4 linked regions of the Neurospora crassa OR74A genome follow. The protein of the gene in region 1 interacts with the protein of each later gene in a biochemical or structural test. Links are inferred from orthologs where the notes say so. Each region holds a gene or a part of one and is shown in the gene's direction. Other genes may lie near its edges. The genes, in order: mdk-1, NCU04637, NCU03137 and gul-1.

Region 1 (5,856 bases):
CTCAATCTATAATAGAATTCGGTCTTAAATTATTTTACCTTTTTAACCCTCCTAAGGCCGTAAGTATCCTACTCTATAAGAGGCTAAAAGTACCGAAAAATTAAATTAACAAAATTTATTTTAATATAGAAGAATACAGAGATAGAGATTATCTACTATTTACAATCGTATACGCTCTATACCTCTAATTATACTAATATAATCTTACAAATATATAATATTGTTTTCTAATTACTATAAATAAAGAAAAATTTATTACTAAACTACATTTAATCTATATTAAATAGGTCGAGAAATAATCTATTATACAAATAATAAATACCGGCGAATTTACCCTCATTTTTATTAATAGCAGGCGTTTAAAGAATATAACTTTTAGGTATACAATATTATTTAACCCTAAGGAAGCAATAAGCAGGAAGAGAGCCCTATTCGCTAATAAATAGAAAAAGGGACTTTAATTTCTCTATAACCAAATAATTTATAGTAGGGCAAAATAATTATAACGTTTATATAAGAGCTAGAATAATCCAATACGGTTGGAAGGGAATAGTAGGCCGAAATTAATTAGGTCGGAATAGGCCTTAAACATTAGGACTACCTATTAGTAAATAAATTATAAAGTTACATATTACATCCTATCGGCCAATACTTAAACCCTAAACTATATCTAAATAATTATAATTATTATATATAATAATAAGAGTAAGGTTAGAAACAATATATTTAAAATTAGTTTAAAAGTATTAATATAAATTATAAGATAAATAATCGACAGTACTAACTATTATAAAAATTATAAGAGTTTTAATTATTACTATAATCCTAATATAAAATATATAAATACTAAAAGTAGATAAGGTATTTTAAATACGCCTAGCAACGCCGTTAATATATAAATATAAATCTATAATTTACAAAAAGAAATCGGATTTGCCAAGGGCGACAATATATATAATAATAATTAAAATTATATATATTATAAGCGAAATATAATTACTATAACGAACTTATAGTCCCTACGTTTTCTTATAAGCGCAGGTATACTATATTAAACCTGTAAGAAACAAATATAATTTAGGCGTATATTTAAGTAAATTATTAATATATTATTTAATAATTAATATAATCTATTATATATTATACAAATCTATAATATTATATAATTAGTCCCCCTATAGAACGGAAGAAGCACTAAACTTTATAAAAAATAAGAATAGGTTAATATATTTAAGGAAAAATATTAATTCCCAATAAAAGCTCTTTATATTATATAAATTACTTTTATTACTAAAATATATTGTAATACTATTATAATAGAAAATTTCGTATATATAATTATTATATAGCGTATTAACGAATTACCTAATATAGGATTCCGATAGCTAGTTATTACTTCGAATTATCTTAACCCAACTACAAATAAAAGGTTTTAATATCCCCCTAGAATATAAATATACTTAATACTTTTAAATAAAATAAGCGAAGTATTAATCCTAATTAGTAACGCTTAAATTACTTTAATCCTATAGTAGTAGGCTATATTTAATTAGGTTCAGGAAGGTTGGAGGGCCGCGGTAAAGGGTCGGAATTAAAACCCCGGGGTTTAAATACATACAAATCGAATATATTATTATAATTAGAATATTCGGGAGAATACTAAATTTAAACAAGAGGAAGGGTAAATTAAATACAAATATAAAAAGGTTATTAAATAAAATTAGAACGGCCGTTTCCTAGAACGAATAGTAAATTATATCGAATAAATTAAGCGTCGTAGGTCTATATACGTTACTCTAATCGGAATTATAGTAAATAAAAACAAATAAATTACGTATTACGACTTTAGGGGTTTCGCTCTAATTAGAATTACGGAGAATAAAAACAAATATATTACGTATTACGACTTTAGGGGTTTCGTTCTAGTAAAAGTAAATAATTAGAATTAAGGTGTATCTTAACTCTAACTAGAGCAGAGTTCAATTGCAATAGTTGGGCCCCACAGCGGCTGACGGCCGAAATACTCAAAATTGGCTCAGACCTGCTACCGCAGAAACGGGTGGGGTGGGGTGGTTTTGGAGGTTAGTGGGTCTGACTGAGACTACTGCTGTACCTGAGGTCCCCACTGCCCTTCCTGGCGCGCGCCTGACCCAACTGAACCCAAACAACCAACCCAGGGCAACCTTATTTCCCCTTCCATGTCCACGTTTGACCCTTCCACCATCCGTCCTCATTCCGACATCCACGCCCGACCCTTCCACCGCCTGCGAACATCTACCGTACACCATCTCCCATAAAGTCTGAACCGCCTCTCCCATACCGCCTACGATCGCCACTCCCATCTTCACACTGTTCTAGACTTGTTAGATTTATCGGCGCAGAGACTGCTTCAGTGCATCTCTGCTCTCCATCACGGCTTCTCACGGGCGACAGCTGCCTGACCAACAAGACCCAACAGGCGGCGAATCCCCCAATCCCCTGCGCAAGACGGTCACTATTGGCTCTGTACTTTTCAACCGCGCCCATACGACCCAGCGACAACCTTCGCCACATCCTCATTATCTAGTCCAACAGTCCTCCGTTTCTTCAACCACAGCCCAGTCGGATCTATCTTCGGCACTCAGAGAAGCCATGGACGGCAGGAAACACCCAAGTTCTTTCCAGCAGCTTGAAAAGCTGGGAGAGGGTACTTATGCTACTGTAAGAGATCTCTCCTTGGCCCAGAACTGTCCCTCGGTGAACAGGGAGAAGTATTTGTAGGGTGCAAATGGCTGACACTACGTCCTCAGGTCTTCAAAGGCCGCAACCGACAGACGGGCGAGCTTGTAGCTCTCAAGGAGATTCACCTTGACTCGGAAGAGGGGACACCGAGCACGGCAATCCGCGAGATCTCGCTCATGAAAGAACTGAAGCACGAGAACATTGTTGCTCTACACGATGTTATTCACACCGAGAACAAGCTTATGTTGGTGTTTGAGTACATGGATGGCGATCTTAAAAAGTTTATGGACACCAACGGCGAGAGGGGAGCCCTCAAGCCACATGTCATCAAGTCCTTCATGCATCAGTTGCTCAAGGGTATTGACTTCTGCCACAAGAACAGGGTCCTACATCGAGACCTGAAGCCGCAGAACCTCCTTATCAACAGCAAGGGCGCTCTGAAGCTGGGTGATTTCGGTTTGGCGAGAGCATTCGGTATTCCAGTCAACACCTTTTCGAATGAGGTCGTCACTCTTTGGTATCGAGCTCCCGACGTGCTTCTTGGAAGTAGAACCTACAACACCAGCATCGACATTTGGTCCGCGGGATGTATCATGGCTGAGATGTTCACCGGCAGGCCTTTGTTTCCCGGCACCACTAACGAGGATCAGATTGTTCGCATTTTTAGGATAATGGGCACGCCGACGGAACGTACATGGCCTGGCCTCACCTCGTTCCCCGAGTACAAGCCTAACTGGCAAATGTATGCGACACAGAGCCTGTCATCCATCTTACCTCAGATTGACCGCGACGGCATCGACTTGCTTCAGCGGATGCTACAGTTGCGGCCCGAATTGCGAATCTCGGCTCACGATGCGCTTCAACACCACTGGTTCAACGACCTGGTCCACCAACAGCATCATCACCAAGCGCAGCAGTCAATGATGCAACAACCGCCGATGATGCAGCAACAGCCAATGATGCAGCAACATAGAGGCTACGGACAGCCGCAACCCAACTACGAGGGCTACTAGACAGAGTACCTTCCAAAAACCGGAAGGCAGACACCGCCGGTTTTGGGGTTTCCTCCACCAGTTTTGTGGCATCGACCGATGCCAGTAGTGTCAGGATCTCCTCCACCAGGATTCAAGAAGATTTGGGAGCAACTGATGCCAGTAAGAGAGGGCTACTACACCGAAGAGCAGTTTCTAGGAGAGCGAACAATGCCAGGGTATCCTCCACCAGGGAGATATCCTCAACCGATACCCGGACATCCTCCAGCATGGAGAAATTATCCATCAATACCCGGACATCCTCCAGCATGGAAATATTCTCAACCAATGCCCGGGCATCCTCTACGTGGGGAACATCCGCAACCGATGTCATGGTATCCTTCAAACCAACAGGTTCAAATGGGGCATTTATCGAGAGAAAATGGGTTGGTTAACCGTGGCATGGGTTCGACTACAGATCTGTCAATGGCGTGGAAAGGAAATTTCAAGAGTGGCAATTCTAAATTGGACATGTCACGGCGGTCACTGCCCGTGGACCCCAGTCTCAACCCGTTTCAACATGATAATGGACAGCGAAATATAATGGTGCCACACAGGCCCCCAATACAAACAGGTGTAATGGGTGATGGACACCCAAATGCGATGCCGCCGCGATTTCAGTTGCTTCAGTCATCTTTCATGCCTCCGGTCCCCCCTCCTCCACCGGCCTTATCGAGGTTACCGGCGTCACATGAGCCTCGACATAAACAGATTGAATTTCCACGAAGTTTCCAATATTAATTCATGATGTGAATGGTCCCGGACCTAACGCTGGAAAGAGAAGTTCATCTGTTTTCAGTTTGAGAAGCTGCCGCCTGGTTCTCGATCATTCCGGACAAGAACATACGCCGATGTTGCACGTTCCTCAAGCTTTACTCGCGACTGATCACACACGGCGGAAGAGCACAATAAATAAGTAGATGGTAATCTTTGTTATCATGTTTACTTGGGATGGTCATTATCTACAAAACGGGGGCATAGCTGGAGCCTTGAACGAAGATGACGGGAACAGGGTAGCGCACGCCAGAGAAAGGCTTTTGTGCCGTACTTATGCATTTGCCTTTCCTTTAATTAGTAGTTACGATTAGCAGCGAAAGTTTCCATATATGTTGAATTAAAGCGAACATTGGTGATAGTCCTCATTATTCTCATTATTCCCCTATCTGTTTACTAGAGAGTTTAGGGTGTTCTCTCAGTTGGGTTGAATTGTATATTTGCAATTCGAGATAGCACCGTTATACATGAGTTGTGAGAACTGTTGGTGATATGATGTTCGGCTATTATTACGCGGTATATGTACATTGTTTAAACAAGCGAGCTTTTGTCCCAAGCAAAACGGCCTTTCGCGATTGTTGACATTGCTCCTCCTATAGACACAATGACCTTTTTTTTTTTTTTTTTCATGTTCCTTCCAGGTTGTTGGCATGATGCATTAGGTAGGTTCCCCAAAACTCCACGCTGCCCGTTGTTGAAGGTGGAACACCCCGCAAGAGAGTGGGCGGGAGCATCTGGGCTACTACGTATCGATAAGCCTTGATCCCTGGCCGGGCCCAGAGGTGCCTGGACGCCTGGACCTGCTCCACCTGATTTGTTGTAGCCGCAGTGTAACCAGCGCCGGACATGGCGCACTGCGACGGACTTGGACGCTACCAAAGAGTCGGTACTGTTTGGCACTGCCCGAGCTTGATCCATGCCCTGCAACAACCAACCGTACAACAACCCATTCCACTTTCCAACGACAACTCGTTCCTGTGTCTCCTGGCCATCGACAACGCAACTTGTCGCGACAACCAACCGACCAGCCGTCTCTCCATCGACAACCTCGGGCTTTCTACTGCATGCTCTAAACCGCCTTCCCGGGAAACAGTCGCCGCGATGGCTGCCGTGGAGTCACGCAAAGGTATGGCACACCTTCGGACGCGCCCGCAATGATGGCGAAGACGATGCCTTTCCACAGAACGACGCTGACCATGCTTGTGCGAGGGAACAGACCAGGAGGCGACCACTATCAAGGTTGCCTCGTCAAAGGCGATCCGTAATGTCGTCAAGCTGAAGAGGCAACCAACAAACAAGCTCTCCAGGATAGGCAATTGGAAGGATGCCA
Region 2 (5,806 bases), on another chromosome or scaffold:
CAACCACATCATGTCACCTCTCAGTGCTGACTCCACTGGATCGTGTTCAGGTCGATACCCTCCTGGACGAGCTCCCACAGAGGAGAAAGCTCACGGAGGAAGCCCACACGCTCCGTTACGGCCTTGAGCACGTAGTCGATCTCCTGCTCGGTAGTGAACCGGCCGATACCGAAACGGATACTGGAGTGGGCGCTCTCATCACTGTTACCCAAAGCACGGAGAACATAACTAGGCTCCAGAGAAGCCGAAGTGCAAGCACTGCCAGAAGAAAGTGCAATATCCTTCAAGGCCATCAAGAGGGACTCACCCTCGACATAGGCGAAAGAAACGTTCACGCAGCCGGGGTAGAAGTGGTTGGGATCACCGTTCTGGCTGGTGTGCTCCATGGAGAGCAGACCGTTGAGAAGACGGTCGGAAAGGTGCTTGATGCGCTTGGAGTCGTACTGTTGTAACAGTTAGCGCCCATCCTTGAACGAGAGATGCATTAAATGTGGGATATGGAAGAATCATGATCAGAGAAGTTGCTGTCTATCAACAAGGAGTCCTTGTCACGGGACTTCAGAAAGCCATGCATGTGTAAAGCGACTCATCATAAAAGGGGCAAAGGAAGACAAAAGAGACTGTAACATACCGGCATTTCTTCCTTGGCGATGCGGCACGCCTCTCCGAAGCCGACAACGAGCGGAGGAGCGAGCGTGCCGCTGCGAAGACCTCTCTCCTGACCACCACCGCTGATAATGGGGTCCAGTCTGACTCTTGGCCGACGACGGACGTAGCATGCACCAATGCCCTTGGGGCCGTAAATCTTGTGGGAGGAGATGGACATCAAGTCAATGTTCATGGCGTTAACGTCAACGGGGATCTTGCCAACAGCCTGGGCAGCGTCGGTGTGGAAGAAGATCTTCTTGGACCGGCAAAGCTTGCCGATTTCCTCGAGGGGTTGGATGACACCAATTTCGTTGTTGACAGCCATGATACTGACGATGGCGGTGTCGGGACGGATGGCAGCCTCCAGCTCCGCCATGTCGATCAGGCCGCTGCTCTTCACTGGGAGATAGGTCACTTCGAAACCCTCGTCCTGGAGATGCCTGCAGCTGTCGAGGACACACTTGTGTTCTGTCTGGCTGGTGATGATGTGCTTCTTCTTGCCGGACCGGCCAAAGAACCTAGCGACGCCCTTGATACTCATGTTGTTGCTTTCGGTGGCACCGCTGGTGAAGATGATTTCCTTGGGGTCAGCGCCAATCAGATCAGCAATGTGTTTCCTCGCCTCTTCAACGGCCTTGTCAGTCTCCCAGCCGTAGGCATGTGTCCTCGAGTGGGGGTTGCCATAGACGTTGGTGAAGTAGGGCATCATGGCATCGAGCACTCTGGGGTCGATGGGGGTTGTGGCCTGCATATCCAGGTAGATGGGACGCTGTCCCTCATCCATCACGGTAGCATTGCTGAGAACATCTAGTTGAGTCAGCAACGAGGACGACTGCGCAATATGTCTCCGAAGAGGTGGGAGGTGATGATGATGCTTACCAGCCATGGGGCTGACGTGTTGGCTCGAGCCATTTTGCGCGCTTATAGTGAGGCCCTGCTTCTCCATCTCCCTGTGATCCAGCTTGATAGCATGCTCGGCCTGCACGTCGGCGTTGTTCCTCTTGGTCTCGGTCACATAGCTCCTGGAAGCAGAAGCAGTCTTGACAGCAGCCGCAGTAGTCGCCCGCGACAGCACACGCGCGCTGCGGAGAGGAGCGGCCGCGGCCAAGCGCGATGCCTGTCGCAAGACGGACGGCGCAATGGTGGACATGGTAAAAGGAAGAAGAAAGAAGGAGAGGAAAAGAGAATATGGTGGTGAGGGTGATGGCGGATGAGGGAGAAAAAGTTCGTTTTGTAACCAAACCTACAAAAACGGATGGAGGCAGCGGGCGGGGCGGCTCAAAACACACTCAGAAATTCAGATGGAGCTGCCGCCTCCCGCTCTTCGGCGGTCGGAGTGGAATTTCCGCCATACAGAAAAGAACAAATCGAAACAAACGGCATCCGCACGCGGACTTGGCCTCGGAGGGGTCGGTGATAAAGGAATGTGCCAATGAGGGGCGACAACCAACAAGGTTTGGCACTTTGATTGGTCATTCTGCCATCGGATGGCCCCACCTGTTTCTTTCTCGGACATCGGACAAGCGCGTATGTACGTACGGCGAAAATGACGCTGCTCCAAAATGTTAGAGAATGGGCCGCCGGGCATGACGGAAACTGAACGCTCGATGTGCACCGCGGCGACTGACTTGACAAATACAGTGCGGAATGTCCACTTGTGAAACGGACTCCGCGGACGCATCTGATCCATCATTGCACAGAAAGGAAGAGCACTGACCCGGGGCAGGCATCCATCTGTTCTCTCAATCGGCATGTCCACTGGGATGAAAGCTACACTACAGCGGGCCCCAGACCCAGTCGGTCTACCCCGTCGTTCCAATTCGTTCCTTTCCGGGGTCTCATCGACCAAAAGCAGAACAACCGATGACGGTACCTATTTACCTCCTCGGTAGTATTCTGTTTCCATTCGCATTGGATGTCTGCGTTGGACTATAACTTGAACCATCAGTGACATGCCATATAACCGCCGACAACCTACTTGAATTCCATTTACACTGCTAAACTATTTAGTAGCATCTTACCTCTAGGACAGCTACCTCTAGCTACTTTACCTCCTACCGTTGAAGACCGAATCCTCCCCGAGGAAGTTTGTCGGACCTCGAACGGAACTGCTGACAAGGGTCCGACCGACGGGATTCAAGAACAAACCGAAATCACAAGACGCCTAGACAAAAAGACTTTTCACACTACATCTTGGAACGAGGTCGCTGTGTGCGGCGTGTCCAACATTCAGCAAATAGCAGCGCCACGCAAACCGTCGCAAGCTTCGCTCAGCCAAGACTTCGTCCACCAGCCAAACGACCTGCACCGCCCCCCTGCCCACCCCCAGCGTCATCACCATCGTATCCGGATCCGACTTGAAGAGGGCACTCGACCACCGATTGCCTTCAACCTCTCCGAACAGCAACCCGCTTTGCGCATCTCCATACAAACACCGAATACACATCAGACATCATACGGCTTCGTAGCAGAATATGAGCTTCAGGGGCTTCCAAAAAAGCGTGGTCCGCGTAGGTTCTGCCCCGCATACCTAGTTGATCTCACCTCCCCTAGTTTCGGTTACAGCGTCATCATCACTTCCGCCCTTCCCGTCGAGTCCCCCGTCTGTGGCAGAAATAGCGCCGAATCACTCGGGTTGGCAAACAGGCACTAACACGACAGAAACCAGGCACCACAACAATTCAAGCAAAAGTTTAACCTCGGCGAGCATACCAAAGACCCTGTCTACATCGACTCGGAGCGCAGATTCCAGGAGCTCGAAACCGAGACCAAACGCCTTCACGATGAAAGCAAAAAGTACTTTGAGGCCATCAATGGCATGCTGCAACACCAAATCGAGTTCTCAAAGGCAATGACCGAAATCTACAAGCCCATCAGCGGCCGCATGTCCGATCCCGATTCGCTCGTTCCCCATGGCAACTATGAGGGTATTGCCGCCTGCGAGGAGTACGAGGCCGTTGTCAAGGACCTGCAGGAAACACTGGCGCCAGAGTTGGAAATGATTGAGGCTAGGGTTATTCGGCCAGCGAACGAGCTCCTCGATGTGATCAAGGTCATTCGCAAAACGGCCGTGAAGCGCGAGCACAAGAAGCTGGACTACGACAGACACCGCGCCACCCTCAAGAAGCTCCAGGACAAGAAAGACCGGTCGGCAAAGGACGAGAAGGCCATGTGGAAGGCTGAGAACGAAGTTGAGCAGGCCACGCAAGAGTACAATTACTTCAACGATCTGCTTAAGGACGAGCTACCCAAGCTGTTTGCCCTCGAACGCCAGTTCATTCAGCCGCTTTTCCAGTCCTTCTACTACATGCAGCTCAACATCTTCTACACCTTGCACGAGAAGATGCAGCACTGCGACATTGGCTACTTCGACCTGACCCTGGACATTGAGGAGGCCTTTTACGCGAAGCGAGGTGACGTCCAGGAGCGGGCTGAGGCTCTCTCCATTGTCAAGTTCAAGACCACGGGTATGAAGCGACCGCCCAAGTACCAACGTCCAGGCGCTCTCGAAGGAAACAAGCCAGCAGGCCTACTTACAGCTGGCTCCTCCACGACCACTTCCACCGGTCCGCCTGAGGCGGCTCCCTCAGTCACAGCCCCACGCCCCTGGGAACAGCAACAACAAGCTCCTGCCGTCACAGCACCGCGACCTTGGGAAACCCAGGCGGAAACAGTAGAAGCGCATGCGCCGCCACCGTATTCGGTGAAGCCGAGCACGCTACATGCTACGCCCGCCTCCTACGCCGCTCCAGTTGCCAGCCCGAAACCCTCGTCGTTGTCCATGGCGGCGGCTGCAAAGGCCAAGCCCCCACCGCCGAAGCCCAAGCCCAAGGCCCTCATGGCGGCGGCACCCAAAGTAGAGACCGTCACAGCGCTTTACGACTACTCGGCGCAGGCGGAGGGCGATCTGAGCTTCCGTGCCGGTGATGTGATTGAGATAGTAACAAGGACTGCGAACGAGAATGAGTGGTGGATTGGAAAGTTGCATGGAAAGCAGGGTCAATTCCCAGGTACGTACTGTACTATTTCTTAGGGTGCTTGCTTTGTTGCGAGCTGGATATGTTCTGACACAATGGTCTTTTGCTAGGAAACTATGTCCAGTTAAACAGCTAGAGGATACAAGGCTACTTGTAAATGTAGTTATCAAAGAGTTGCTTTCAGCACACTTCACTTCTCAGCACGACTTCAACCTATACCCCTTTTTTGTGGACCCGTTCATGGTCGAGTTATTCATTTGCAACCACAACACGGATTCTTTCTAGTTCGTCTACATCGTACCAGGCCGTGACGTTCTGTAGCAGGGCCTTGGTGATCCTATACGGATGCAATGATATGCGGCAGGTGACTCTGTTGAGAATAGTCAGGCAGGAGGAAACTCCGTCGCGAAGGAGGACCTGCGAGGAGCGTGGAGCGAGAGGGTCCCGGGTGTTTGCGTCTAGGGAAATGGCGGGTGTATTGTTTTGGAGCGAAGGAAGCAACGGAGTGAAAAGGTCACAGTGCATTGGGTCAAACCTGGAAGTTTTGATTAGATGCGTTTTGCCATGATCGCCGTCGTGGTTTGTTCCCTTTAGGTTAGGTACTTGCCCGCGCGTCAAGCTTCCTCAGGTGAAGCTAATTTCTAATTTTGTTAACGCAACGACCACGCAGCTCAGCTTGAATCTAGTGTCACCAACAACCGCTTGCCTTGTCAAAACTACCTGGCTCGGCTTCACCTCCTGGCTCGACTCCAAGGATTCAGGTTTTTTTTTGGGAGGAAAGAAAGATGTGTATCATATCTGCTACTCATCTACAGGTAGGTATCACTGAAAGCCATGGCAAGTGTACTGGAGGGTCCTTATTGGAAATACCGATGTTGAACGATGGCCTCCAGCTAAGATGCAATGCTTCGGTGCCCTGGATAGCGAGGTCCTCTGGTTTAGCTTCAAGTGAGAGACATGCACCTGCCTTGTTGTACAAGACTAAGGCTAACAGAAGCTTCCAATAATGCGCCAAGCAACCCAGCTGTATGCTCCTCCCTCCAATTCTCCATGAGTCCCTCCGTGGCTGTGAAGCAAGACAGGGAGTCACAATCTCCAGTATGTCGGGCAAACCCAGATCTATGGGCTTTTAATTCCCCTCTTCTCACTTGCACACAAACTCTTCTTCCTCTTCTCACAAA
Region 3 (6,129 bases), on another chromosome or scaffold:
GCATCATGAGCCACCTCACAGCGCTCGGCGGGCGGACGGTGGCAGCAGCAGCAGCAGCAGCAGAGCAGGCTGTCCGGCTGTGCTTTCCCTGCAAAAAGGATTTTCTCTCTTGCAGTGGGTATCCACATCCTGACGTCCCCTGCATTGTCTCTGGGGAAGTGGATAAGTGTCTGTTAGTGCAATACATTAGTATCTGAGGGAACTCTTAACAGTCCATGGGCTGGTACATGCTGAAACATCGTACATAGACATCAGGCCATGCGGCGCACTTCCACTTGACTTCAAAGCCGATCAGATCAAGGGACGGTAACTCCAGACAATCGCCAGCATTTCTACTTGCCTCCTAACTCCGATCCTTCACAGTTTTTGATGCTCCCCCGCCCTCCAGGATCCCCGCAACCGAAAGCCCACGATGGAATGGACGTTCGCGATGATGCGCCTATCCCAACCCCGCCAGCCGCCTGCTCATCTTCCCCGCTATTATTCCCCAGCTTGCCCAGTCGATGTTGCTCGCTTGAAGAAGGACTGGTGTGTGGAAGCGGGAGAGAAGGATTTACCCGAATGCTCGCGGGATGTTACGTGTACGACAGTCCTCTTTTCGCTTTAGATGGTGGACAAGAACACCGCCGTGCCGTTCTGTCATGGTACCACTTTTTGTTAGTCGCGAACAATCGGGTCTGGATCAGGAAGTGAAACCAAGATCATTGAAGGGGTCTTTGTTCAATTTGCAAACGCTCGGGTGATATCCCAGAGGGTTCCATATGGGCGCAAAAAGGTAGCTCCCGTCCTGGGCCAGAACTGCTAAGCATGCGATCGGGAAAGAACTGTCTTGGCCTCTGATACCGGTATGTAGGCTTTCCCCCAAGTTTGAGAATACATAGCAGCTTGAGTGGAATGCTTGTAAGAGGCTGCGCAATCTAACCTATAATATTCTCGTTCTTTCAAAGGCCCAAGAGAGTCTGCTGATAGTTTACTCTTGTTTACCTATCCTGAGATTTCCTACCGTTCCCGTCACTGCAAGTACTATGTAAGCCGGGTGGCGACTTGCACAAGACTGAAATACAAAGTCCGTTGCCTCGGACGGATCTCCGGATCAGCCTGCCATCTTCACTAAATCCCATTGAGAAGATGATCTGGCCGTGAAAGGTGCCTCTCAAAACACTATGCTTACTTACTTTATACATATGTTGTAGCCTGCCTTTAGCTGGAAGGCAACTAACTATAAAGCATCACACCATTTTTGCTTGGGGATAGGGCTCTACTCATCAAATCGATCCGTTACGCCTCCGGATTTCCCAACAAATATCACCACCGACCCCCAAGGACTGAGGACGTACTGATCCTCAGCACCGGGCAATACGCTCAGGCTAAGATTGCCGTCCATAACCCCTTACGGTACTACACGTCTTCCAGGCAGCTGGGGTAAGGCTCTGCCTTGTACTGTATGCGGGATGAAGAAAAAAGGCGCTGGATAAGCCGTGGTATCCCCAGAGGCCTCGCACCTTTGTAGATAGTGTATGTATCTTGTCTCGCCCCTTGGGCACAGTTTGGTGTCACCAGGTGTACCCGTAAGCCGATAGAAACCCGGGATACACAGCGAGAGTTGACGTTCACGGCATATCTCAACCCAGCTACCTTCAGAGTAGACGGCTGCAATACCGCCGGGAACAGACAATGGACACTCAGCGAGCGACTGCTTCTTTTTTTTTTCACAACGACAACCGCTTGTTGACGGCTCGTTGGATCACTTAATAAACGTCAGTCAAACGAGACTGACAAGGTGAGAATACGAAAAAGTTCCATTTTCAAACTCGCGGTGTCAGTGTCAGTCAGCAGGACATCAGGGGAACTTGAAGGGTACCTGGTAGTCCAGCATAACAAACATCCCCGTGACCGCTTATGACACCAATTTGTGCGGTTGGATTGGCCAGCCGTGTTAGCTCGTTGCAGACCGCCGAGGTACCAGGCTGGTAAATGACTATATTGCCGTCTTACAGGGTATCGCTAGAGACTTGCACCAAGTCGGTAAAGTGCGCGTGGGTTGATGATGGGGAACAGCCGGTGCAAATGCAGTCTTGTGCCTGTCTGCTGCCCTGACAAGAGGCCGAACTCATCAAGACAGAATTAGATCTGATTGTTGAGAAGGGAACCGCCCTCGTGATTCTGGAAGGTTGGGCGTTGGGGATGATCCCGTTTCTCATTCCGCCTCACCGGGTATGTAGAGGTGGATACCTACCTACGTATTGTCTGGTAGTTCTACTGGTTTGTTGTTAACTTGGTACCTAGGCACTCACTCGTAGAACACTGAATGAAATGTCTTCCGAGATGTCTCCAACCTGTTAAGGACTAAATGAATGGCTGGATATAGATCCAAACGGCATCCATAAAATTCAATACGGTGTAATTTAGCTCGGAAGAAGCATAATCGCCGCTTGAAAACCCACGGGGAGGTTGACCCGAGGTCTCGAGCTAACTTTCGTACCAGTATAGGTTGGACTGCACAACGAACAACCTAGCCGGTTCCTTAGTTCCTTCCCTTTTAGTTCTACTCGGCGGATCGCGATCCGTTCGCCATGCCCCAAAAAAACACAAAGTTTCTACAACACGAGCTCTTCAATTGTCGTGCAGATTTTGGTTCCTTAGTTCGAAGCATATGATTCTGAAGAAAGGGTTTGAACGCCCCCTTCGGACTTTTCACACAGTGTTTTACCGTACTGCGCATAATCAATCCACTCCCCAAGCCCAGCATCCCACTTGGGTTGCTACCTTCCTTGTCTTTCACTGCTTGAACCGCGGCAGACGTTCGTCATCAGATCCGCATTCACTGGGCAAAGTCCCCCAACACGGCGCATTCCTCAATACTTTTCTCCCGGCATACTCGCACCACCAGACGGGAAGTGAACGAGTCGGATTCACTCACGCACACCACGTTGAGTAACCATCCATTCGAGACGACAGAGCAATTGAGGCCGGGTGGTCAGAGCCTAATATCTCCCTACGCATATCGGGCGTTCATCCGGCCTTCCCGACCTCGCCCAACACACTAGAGAACCCCTACCGGTCGCCTACCGGTCGCCTACTCGAAGTCGAGAATCGAGATTGCGGTCGACATTACATAACCGTCCAGACCGCATGTAGCCTTGCCATTTGACTGCCCCCCCATATACCGACATAACCAACAAATACCCCCTCCCTTTCCCCTTTGACCATCAAGAGGGACACATCCTTCTCGACGACAGAACGAGTTGCGATTGCCTACCATGCAGTACGTCAGGAGTCTCGGCGACTCTGTCTCTACCGCCTGGAACTCCATCAACCCTGCGACCCTCAGCGGTGCCATCGACGTGATAGTCGTTGAGCAGGAAGATGGCACCCTTGCATGCTCTCCCTTTCACGTGCGTTTTGGCAAGTTCTCGCTGTTGCGCCCATCCGAAAAAAAGGTCGAATTCAGGGTCAATGGCGTCAAGCAGGACTATGCCATGAAGCTGGGCGAGGGAGGCGAGGCCTTCTTCGTCTTCGAAACTACAGACACCATCCCTCAGAGCATGCAGACGTCGCCCATCGTGTCGCCCGCCTCTAGCCCCCCGCTCAATGCCGACCAGTCAGGGCCTCTACAAGAACCTGAATCACTCGATCTGAACTCGGTAGAAGGCAAAACCCGTTCTTCGAGCTTCAACCACAGGCCTCCTCCCACTGCTCTACTAGCACGAGACGGTAAGCGCTGTGTCCAGCTTCCACGCCGCCATGATCGACATATACTGACAAGCATGGGTTATAAGGGTTGCTCACACCTCGTTCCGTATCACCAGATCCTATCAAGGGTGAATGGTCTCCGTTTCGCCCACATAGCGATGGCCTTCTGCGGCAGTCAGCGCGAAGAATGCCAAGCGATGGCAGCACCCACGAAGGTTCAGAAGAAGGCGATAGCCACACCGAAAGATCCCGCAGCCCGCCGCCGCTTACAGCACCCGAAGCTCTTCAAAGGGCAATGAACCTCTCCCGAGAGCTCGCCGCCGCCAATATCCCTAACCACATCAGCGAGACCGGAGACCTCATGTTAGATATGACTGCGTTCAAAAACAATGAGGAAGACGCCTTCCGGGCTGAGATCCTTGCGCGCAAGATTCTCACGGAGGAGCTTGATGGCAACTACGACATCGGCGCACTTTTTGGCGTTGACGAGCATGGAAACCTTTGGATCTACAGCAGCATCGAGGCGAAGGAGGCCGCCATGAAGAGGACGATGGACCCCCTACGCTCTGCATCTCACATGGGCAACATTGATGCGGCTTCTGACCCTGGGTATCAGAGCGATGCTAGCGATACCTCAGCCGCCACGACTCTACCGATCCACAGGAGAGCTGACTCTGATGTCGGCCAGATGACCCTGCAGACACCCCCAAGCTCTCCCGGCAGTTCGGCAGCGGGCGATCCCAATCGGAACTACGCAAAGACCTTGAGGTTGACTAGCGACCAGTTGAAGGCCTTGAATCTGAAGCCCGGCGAGAACTCAATGAGCTTCACCGTGAACAAAGCTACCTGCCAGGCTTACATGTTTTTATGGAAGCACGAGGTACCCGTGGTCATCTCGGATATTGATGGAACCATTACAAAGTCTGATGCGCTTGGCCACGTGCTGAACATGATCGGGCGCGACTGGACGCATGCTGGTGTAGCCAAGCTGTATACTGATATTGTAGCCAACGGGTACAACATAATGTATCTGACGAGTCGGTCTGTCGGCCAGGCCGACACTACACGAACTTACCTCGCAGGTATCGTTCAAGACGGGTACCGTCTCCCACGCGGACCTACCATTCTCTCACCCGACCGAACCATGGCGGCTCTCCGTCGCGAGATCTATCTCCGCAAACCACATATCTTCAAGATGTCCACGCTTCGTGACATCCGCAACCTCTACGGGCCCGATCGCACACCGTTTTACGCCGGGTTCGGCAACCGTTTCACGGACCAAATCTCGTATCGCACGGTCGACGTGCCCCGTAACCGTATCTTCACCATCAACTCTAATGCAGAGGTGTCACTCGATTTGCTGAGTCTCAACAAACTCAAGCTGAGTTACGTCAACATGACCGAGGTTGTCGACCATTACTTCCCACCTGTCACCACGCTCATCAAAGGCGGTGGCGAGGATTATACGGATTTCAAGTATTGGCGAGACCAGCCTTTGGATCTTGACGAGTTCTCTGCCAGTGACACCGAGGACGAGCGCAGCGGTGGCCGAAAGACATCTGCTCCGGCTGTTGTCGATGATCATGAAAGTGAGTACGAGGAGGATGACGAGGAAGAAGTTGGCGACGGTCTTGTGGACAGCTACATCTCGAGAAACTCGGTGGATGATTACGAGGAAGGAAGCGTGGCAAGTGAGGATGGGGATTATGATGCAGAGGATGATGGCGAGGATGATGGAGAGGATGGTGAGGAAGAGGAGGGAGAATATGATGAGGAGGCTGCGCCCGAGCATATGGTTGATTCGGCTATGCTGGACAGCGTGTATGTGGATGCAGATGCGGATGGAGTAATCACTGACGACGAGGACGCCGAGGGAAAAAAAATAGTTGAAGAAGAAGAGGTGGACAACGAAGAGGAGGAAGACGGAGGACTCGGCGCCGAGGAAGAGGAAGGGCTCAGACGTGCTGCTGCCGATCTCGAACAGGCAATGAAGGAGCAGGAGAGGAAGAGGGAACCAACTGAAGCTCAATTGCAAGTGCCGGTTGAGCAGCAGTCCAGGGACAGCTCAAGCTCATCGGTTTCGCCCAAGGTGATTGAGCCAGATGCAGATGCTGAAATTATCACTGGGATTAAGGATCTTACTGTTGAGAAGGAAGTGAGCTAGAAGAAGTATGTAACACGAGAAGAGGGTTTGTGATCAAATATCGTTACCATGAAGAGGGAAGATGCTATTTGAAACTTCTAACAGCGATAGAATAACACACACCCGAGGAAAGGCGGAGGAGGAGGAGGAGGAGGAGGAGGAAAAGGGATGGAAGAGAGGTGATCCTTGGGCGATTTCCTCACATTGCATAGCGCGGCGCAACTGGAAGGGAAATACAATGTACTTGACATTTACGGTGCCAGTTTATTACATCACTACTCCTAGAATTGTCT
Region 4 (5,936 bases), on another chromosome or scaffold:
GCTGCAGCCGGTGCAGACGCTGGCTGCAACTCGGGTTGCTTTTCGAAAAGTGTTTTGCCATTGACTTGGGTGGCGGGTGGTTGTGATGGGGATGCCGTTGAGGCAGGTTTCGGGGCTGGAGATGGTGCCTTTGCTGGCTCGAAGTCAGGCAGGACAGGCGGGATCTCGATTTTCTTCGCCTTGAGAGCGTTAAGCTTCCTTCGCTCAGCAGCAAGTTGTTCTTCTGCTCGTATCCTTTCCTCCTCTTTCTTGCGCTCCTCGACCAGACGTTCCTGCTCTTGTCTCAAGAGGTGTTCCTGGTACACCCTCTCGGCCTCCTCGCGTACACGTTCATGTTCCCTCCTAGCGGCCTCAATCAGAAGTCTATGCCGGGCCTCGGAATTGCGGTCTCCAGCAAGAATGTCGGATATGACTGATCGCGAGGAAGGGCTTGCCCACTGGTTGCCGTTTGGGCGAGCGGGGGACGAACCAGCCATCCTGTCGGTGGTTGGATGCGCTGCTGCTTGACAATCCCAGTCACCCGTCACGATTGCCGGACAGGTGGTACACTGGGGAAATTTTCAGGCAGATATATCGCTGCTTGGTTAAAAAAAAAATTGGGTGATGTTAAGGTGATCGTCCGGTGTTGTGTTCGGCTTGACAGTTGCGGAAGGGTACTATGGACACTATCAATTGGAGTTGTACTTTGCGCGCGTCGCGAGTCCAATAGCACTAAGTCCACTCCATGGGTGCGGTTTTAGTATGGCGGCATCCGTCTGTCTTGGTATCTTTACACACTGTGTGTGGTTAGGTGCAGTGGTCCTTGCAGCCGCTTTTGGTGGGGGAGAACGGATGGAAGTGGCACCTTTCTATAAACCAACCTGAAATCTAGCCTTGATGTATTGTTGGCAACAAAAACCTACCTACCTGTGTAGATATCACAAAGCGGCTTTGGCATCTATAACCCAAATTTAGATGTCTGCTCCTGCTGTGTTACGCTGAAATATCTCCAGGTCCTCGGGCGTCCGTATAAATTACAAAGTGATGGGAACAGTCAAGAGAAAGGGCTTCGGAGGTACAGCTCTTTGAAGTCGCCATTGTATGTACTTACGAAGCTAAGCTAAGGCAACGTGCTATTGACATCTCAAACGAACTTTAATGCAGGATGTGTGATGAATCAAGGATTCATCTTTTCATCGCAAGTTACTGCATAGGTATTACTTTGATCCATTGGTGCTGTGGACAGCAAATATCGTCAAGAAGGTCAGCTTGTGGTCTTTGTATATGGCAGATAGCAACTCCATTAGTTCCCGCAGGTATCCGTGTCTCTCTTCTCTTCAACCTCTTTTACGAATCGTACCGTCATCCAAAGACACAGACCCCCAAAGCCTGCCGGAGCTTCTGACACGGGAGACACGGCTGTCGTCTTGCAGTATGCGGTGTACTCGCGTCGATCCAGGGTTTAGGGTATCACCATCACCATTGACGTCTTCCCTGTTACGCCGGCAAGGCCAGTCCATATTCCCCAGGTGATGCCGGGCACATCATGATATGGGTTGGCGATCCTCTTTCCGACCACCGTTGAGTTTCCCCGAGAGAAACGTTCGAGCACGTATCTTCGAGTACATCTCGAGTTTGTCGTCCCTGTCCCTGTGCAGACACATTCGTGACAGGGAAGCATCGCCCAGCATACGCCATGTTTGAGATATCCTGAATCTAAACTAAATGAGGTATGGGGTAAAGACGATTAGCGGGAGTGTCCACTTCTGCCATTTGTGATTTTCCCGAGTCTGCTGAGGAACCGTTTCCCCACTGGCATCGTTGATTGGTGTAGGTAGTGTAGCTTCCCCCGGATGCTCCTGTCGCGGTCCTCGACTCTTCGAAGCTCTTGGCTATTGAACAGAAACTCCAGAAGTAGGTATGCAGTGGATGTCATGAGTGCAGATTTCCTTTTGAACAAAGGCCAGGAAGAAAAGACGGTTTTATAAAAGGGGCTCAAAGGTTACTTCATTCAGTAGTAGTTGGGTTGTAAGTGGAAGGGAAGAGGAGCACGGTGTGTCGCGCACATGGGGTATCCGGTGCACCACCCTCACACCCTGCGTGCTTGCACCTATCCTGGCGCTACTAACGGTAGCCCACCACTTCAGCCAACTGCCCAGCACCGCCGCTGATAGGTGCAACTGAAACCGTAAGAGATGCCTGCCGTGAACCCGGACCTTCCATGCTCCGCCGCCGCACCGTGTACACCTGCAGCATGCGCCTCCAAGGAGGGACGGACCTCACTCACCTCAGCAGGACGGACTGCCAGGCGGGCGGGCACCATCCTGTCCCGTCGTTTCCCTCTCACGCATCAGTTCGTCACTAGCATGTAGTCTAGGTGAGGTAGGTACCTCTAGGTAGATACTCTAGGTACAACCTAGCCAGCCCAGGATGCCCGCCGAAGGATGGACCTTTCGGGTTCCTCTCGCTGACTGCCGCTGCGGCGCTGAAAGTGCTCTGCTCCTCCTCCTCCTCCTCCTCTCAGGTCCAAGGCCCAGTCCTCCTGACTTCCTATAGCACCGAACCTCTTTCTCCCGTCCTCCGACTCCTCCTCCTCCTGCACTCTCCCTTTCCCCTTCCCTCCTCACGAACCTCAATCCGCATCGGCTTCAGGCTTCCCTCTAGCTTCAACGTCAACTAGCAAAGCCGGACACCTCCCTCCCTTCTCTCTACACTCCCTCGTAGCAACTTTTCAATCTCTCATTATAACCTCTTTGGACTTGATTTCTTTCATCCAATCCGCTTTAACTGCGAAACAAAACTGTCCTTTGGGGCGACGTCTCCGCACCGCAACCAAACATACCGCAACTCCCATCGCATCTGATGCATCGCAACGGCAATCCGGCCACACAAAAAAGATAAACCCAGCTCAATAACCTTCCCCCTCGTCTCTGTTCGGTCGACCACGCCTCGATTCGATTCGACTCGACTCGACTCGACTCGTCTCGTGCTCTACTTTACTACTTCTTCACACGCTTTAGGTCCAACGCCGACTTCGCCTTGCATTCGCACTCGACGTGCACGTTTTCTGCCTGGATCACCCGAGTCATCTGCACCTGTCCGTCCCAACAACCTGCATCATGGATCAGCAACAGCAGCCTCAAGGAGGCGTCTCTGGCCCCGCCGGCCGACGGCTCCATATCGCCCATCGAAGAAGCCCGTCGGAGCTGACCCCGTTGATGAGTATGTTTTCAAACACGAACAGTATGTTTTGAGTTTTGCTATTGTCATCGCCATTGCCATCGTGTACTATCGCGGCGCCCCTCTACCGCTCTTGCACTGGTCCGTTCTTGTTCGTGGCGAAAAGCTTCAAAAGCCAATGATCGTACCCCTGACCCCGTCGCGTTCCCGTCTTGTGTCCTGACTGTAACCCCTCATCCCCCTCTTCAATGCGCTGGCGTACTGACTGGATCTTTTTTTCGGTGCAGTGGAACAGCTTGCCATCCAGCAGCAGATCGAACTCCTTCAGCAGCAGCAACAGCAGATTACAGCTCAATATGCCAACCTCGGCATGCTTCCGGCCACGCAACCCCTGGGCCCTGGCGGATTCACCAACTTCCAGCCCATTGCCGGTTTGGCGCCTCAGGCGGGCTTCCAGTTCCCGGTCCAGCTGCAGCAGCAGCCGCCCCTAGCTCCTCCTACACAACCGCTTTCACATCGCCGTAATCAGTCGGCCATTCCAAACATGGGCATGGGGGGCCCGCCGCCTGCTCCCTCTGCCGGCGCCTCTGGTTCGACGTTCGGCAACTTCCAAGATCCCACCCAGGGTCACGCCCGAGAGAACAGCACCGGCGGTCGTGGTGGTCGGGGTGGATCCGGCGGCGGTCATCAGAGAAGACATTCCTTGGCCTTGGCTGATGCCAAGAAGGCCGCCGAGATCGCCCAACAGAAGCGCACGACGTCTACCTTCCAGTTCCCTGCTGCTCCTGCCCCTGGCTCCTCCGAGAAGTCTGAGGATGATGCCAAGACCACCCCGAGCACCACTCCTGCTCCGGCGGAGGGCCAGATAGCTCAGGGATCGTCGTTCCGTGGCGGTCGTGGCGGCCATGGCAGGAGCCAGAGTATGGCTGTTGGTGCCAATGGCCGTGGTGGCCGCGGAGGCCATTTCTCTACCGACTCCGTGGGCCAAGGCAGCGACTTTTCCCGCCGCGCTCCTGGTAGCGGCCATGCCCGCACTGGTTCCCGCAACTTCGACGGCAACTGGAGGAACCAGAACCAGAACCAGAACCAGAACCAGGCTCAGGACCAGACCGCTGCCCTTCCTCAGAGCCAGGGCTTCCAGCCCGGTCACCGCAGCCGCGGCTCGGTGAGCCAGTCCATCTCTTCGATTGGATCCTTCCAGTATCCTGGACAGCCTCAGCTGGTTCAGTTCCCCGGTCAGATGATGATGCCCCAGGTTTTCCCTGGCCAACAACTCAATCCGATGCAGCTCAACCAGCTTCAGGCTCTTCAGCTTGCTCAGATGAATGGTCAGCCACTTACCGGTCTTGCCGCCAGCCAGCACGCTCCTCAAATGGCTGCTCCTGGTCAGCAAAGCCAGCAACAGCAGCGCAAGACGCTTTTCACTCCTTACCTTCCCCAAGCTACTCTTCCTGCCCTCTTGGGTAACGGCCAGCTTGTTTCTGGTATTCTTCGCGTGAACAAGAAGAACAGAAGCGATGCGTACGTCTCGACGCAGGATGGCCTGCTTCCCGCCGATATCTTCATCTGCGGCAGCAAGGATCGCAACCGTGCTCTCGAAGGTGATCTCGTTGCGGTCGAGCTGTTGGATGTTGGTGAAGTGTGGGCGCAGAAGCGCGAGAAGGAAGAAAAGAAGAAGCGCAAGGATATTACCGACACTCGTTCTGGCTCCATTAGTGGAGGCCAAAATACTGGTGACGACAATGGCAACGCTGAGGGGGGACTCCGCCGCCGTGGCAGCCTCAGACAGCGTCCTACCCAAAAGAAGAACGACGACGTGGAAGTTGAAGGTCAAAGTCTTCTTTTGGTTGAGGAAGAGGAGATCAATGATGAGCAGCAGCCTCTCTTTGCTGGTCACATTGTTGCTGTTATTGAGCGTGTTCCCGGCCAAATGTTTTCTGGTACCCTTGGTCTGCTCCGCCCGAGCAGTCAGGCTACGAAGGAGAAGCAGGAAGCTGAACGCGCTGCGAGAGACGGTGGCAATGGCCGCCAACAAGACTCGCGCTCCCACGAGAAGCCCAAGATTGTTTGGTTCAAGCCCACGGACAAGCGTGTTCCTCTGATTGCCATTCCTACCGAGCAAGCACCCAAGGACTTCGTGGAGAAGCACCAGGACTATGCGGACCAGATCTTCGTGGCTTGTATCAAGCGCTGGCCCATCACTTCTCTGCATCCGTTTGGTACCCTCGTTGAGAAGCTGGGCAAAATGGGTGATCTTAAGGTTGAGACCGATGCCCTCCTTCGTGACAACAACTTCGCGTCCGACGAGTTTGCTGAGGCTGTTTTGCGCAACGTCAGCCAGCAAGACTGGTCGCTTGAAAGTGAGGATCAAGCTGCTCTTGCCGCTCGCCGTGACTTCCGTGGCGAGAATGTGTTCACTGTTGAATTAGATAGCTCTGTCGAGCTTGGCAACGGTGTTCATTTCAAGCAGTTGCCTGACGGCAAGATCGAAATTGGTATTCACGTTCCCGATGTCGCCCACTTCGTCAAGCCCGGCTCACTCGTTGACCGTGAAGCTAAGAAGCGCGGTACTGCGGTCCATCTTGTCAACCGCTTCTGTGCCCTTCTCCCCCCCAAGCTGTCGAGCGAGCTTTGCACCCTCACTCCTGAACAGGATCGCTTGACTTTTAGCGTTGTGTTCCACGTCAACCCCCAGACTGGCGCGGTGGCCGAAGGCGACACCTGGATTGGAAAGGGTATCGTCAAGAGCGGCGGGAAGGTGTCGCTCAGCGAGATCG

Evidence for each region.
Region 2: of the proteins of mdk-1 (region 1) and NCU04637, one has a biochemical effect on the other in vitro, tested with the Saccharomyces cerevisiae proteins (2 studies listed by BioGRID). The link is inferred for Neurospora crassa OR74A from reciprocal best matches to the Saccharomyces cerevisiae genes PHO85 and RVS167.
Region 3: of the proteins of mdk-1 (region 1) and NCU03137, one has a biochemical effect on the other in vitro, tested with the Saccharomyces cerevisiae proteins (9 studies listed by BioGRID). The link is inferred for Neurospora crassa OR74A from reciprocal best matches to the Saccharomyces cerevisiae genes PHO85 and PAH1.
Region 4: of the proteins of mdk-1 (region 1) and gul-1, one has a biochemical effect on the other in vitro, tested with the Saccharomyces cerevisiae proteins (2 studies listed by BioGRID). The link is inferred for Neurospora crassa OR74A from reciprocal best matches to the Saccharomyces cerevisiae genes PHO85 and SSD1.

What each region holds. Positions count from the first base shown.
Region 1 is NC_026503.1:4,279,833-4,285,688, forward strand, and holds mdk-1 (cyclin-dependent protein kinase), read left to right. Parts: upstream 1-2,169; 5' UTR 2,170-2,631; coding exon 2,632-2,700; intron 2,701-2,789; coding exon 2,790-3,734; 3' UTR 3,735-4,945; downstream 4,946-5,856. Other genes in the region: NCU07579 (hypothetical protein), read left to right, coding at 5,373-5,652, 5,743-5,856.
Region 2 is NC_026505.1:1,374,940-1,380,745, reverse strand, and holds NCU04637 (BAR adaptor protein RVS167), read left to right. Parts: upstream 1-2,406; 5' UTR 2,407-3,122; coding exon 3,123-3,158; intron 3,159-3,316; coding exon 3,317-4,658; intron 4,659-4,735; coding exon 4,736-4,761; 3' UTR 4,762-5,506; downstream 5,507-5,806. Other genes in the region: NCU04636 (cysteine desulfurase), read right to left, coding at 21-443, 632-1,455, 1,528-1,798. UniProt on the Saccharomyces cerevisiae protein: Component of a cytoskeletal structure that is required for the formation of endocytic vesicles at the plasma membrane level.
Region 3 is NC_026501.1:4,686,185-4,692,313, forward strand, and holds the start of NCU03137 (nuclear elongation and deformation protein 1), read left to right. Parts: upstream 1-2,604; 5' UTR 2,605-3,260; coding exon 3,261-3,714; intron 3,715-3,779; coding exon 3,780-5,857; 3' UTR 5,858-6,129. UniProt on the Saccharomyces cerevisiae protein: Mg(2+)-dependent phosphatidate (PA) phosphatase which catalyzes the dephosphorylation of PA to yield diacylglycerol. Required for de novo lipid synthesis and formation of lipid droplets.
Region 4 is NC_026505.1:3,211,419-3,217,354, reverse strand, and holds the start of gul-1 (cell wall biogenesis protein phosphatase Ssd1), read left to right. Parts: upstream 1-2,472; 5' UTR 2,473-3,098; coding exon 3,099-3,222; intron 3,223-3,446; coding exon 3,447-5,936. Other genes in the region: gle-1 protein, read right to left, coding at 1-476. UniProt on the Saccharomyces cerevisiae protein: Can suppress the lethality due to deletion of SIT4, and partially the defects due to BCY1 disruption. Is implicated in the control of the cell cycle G1 phase.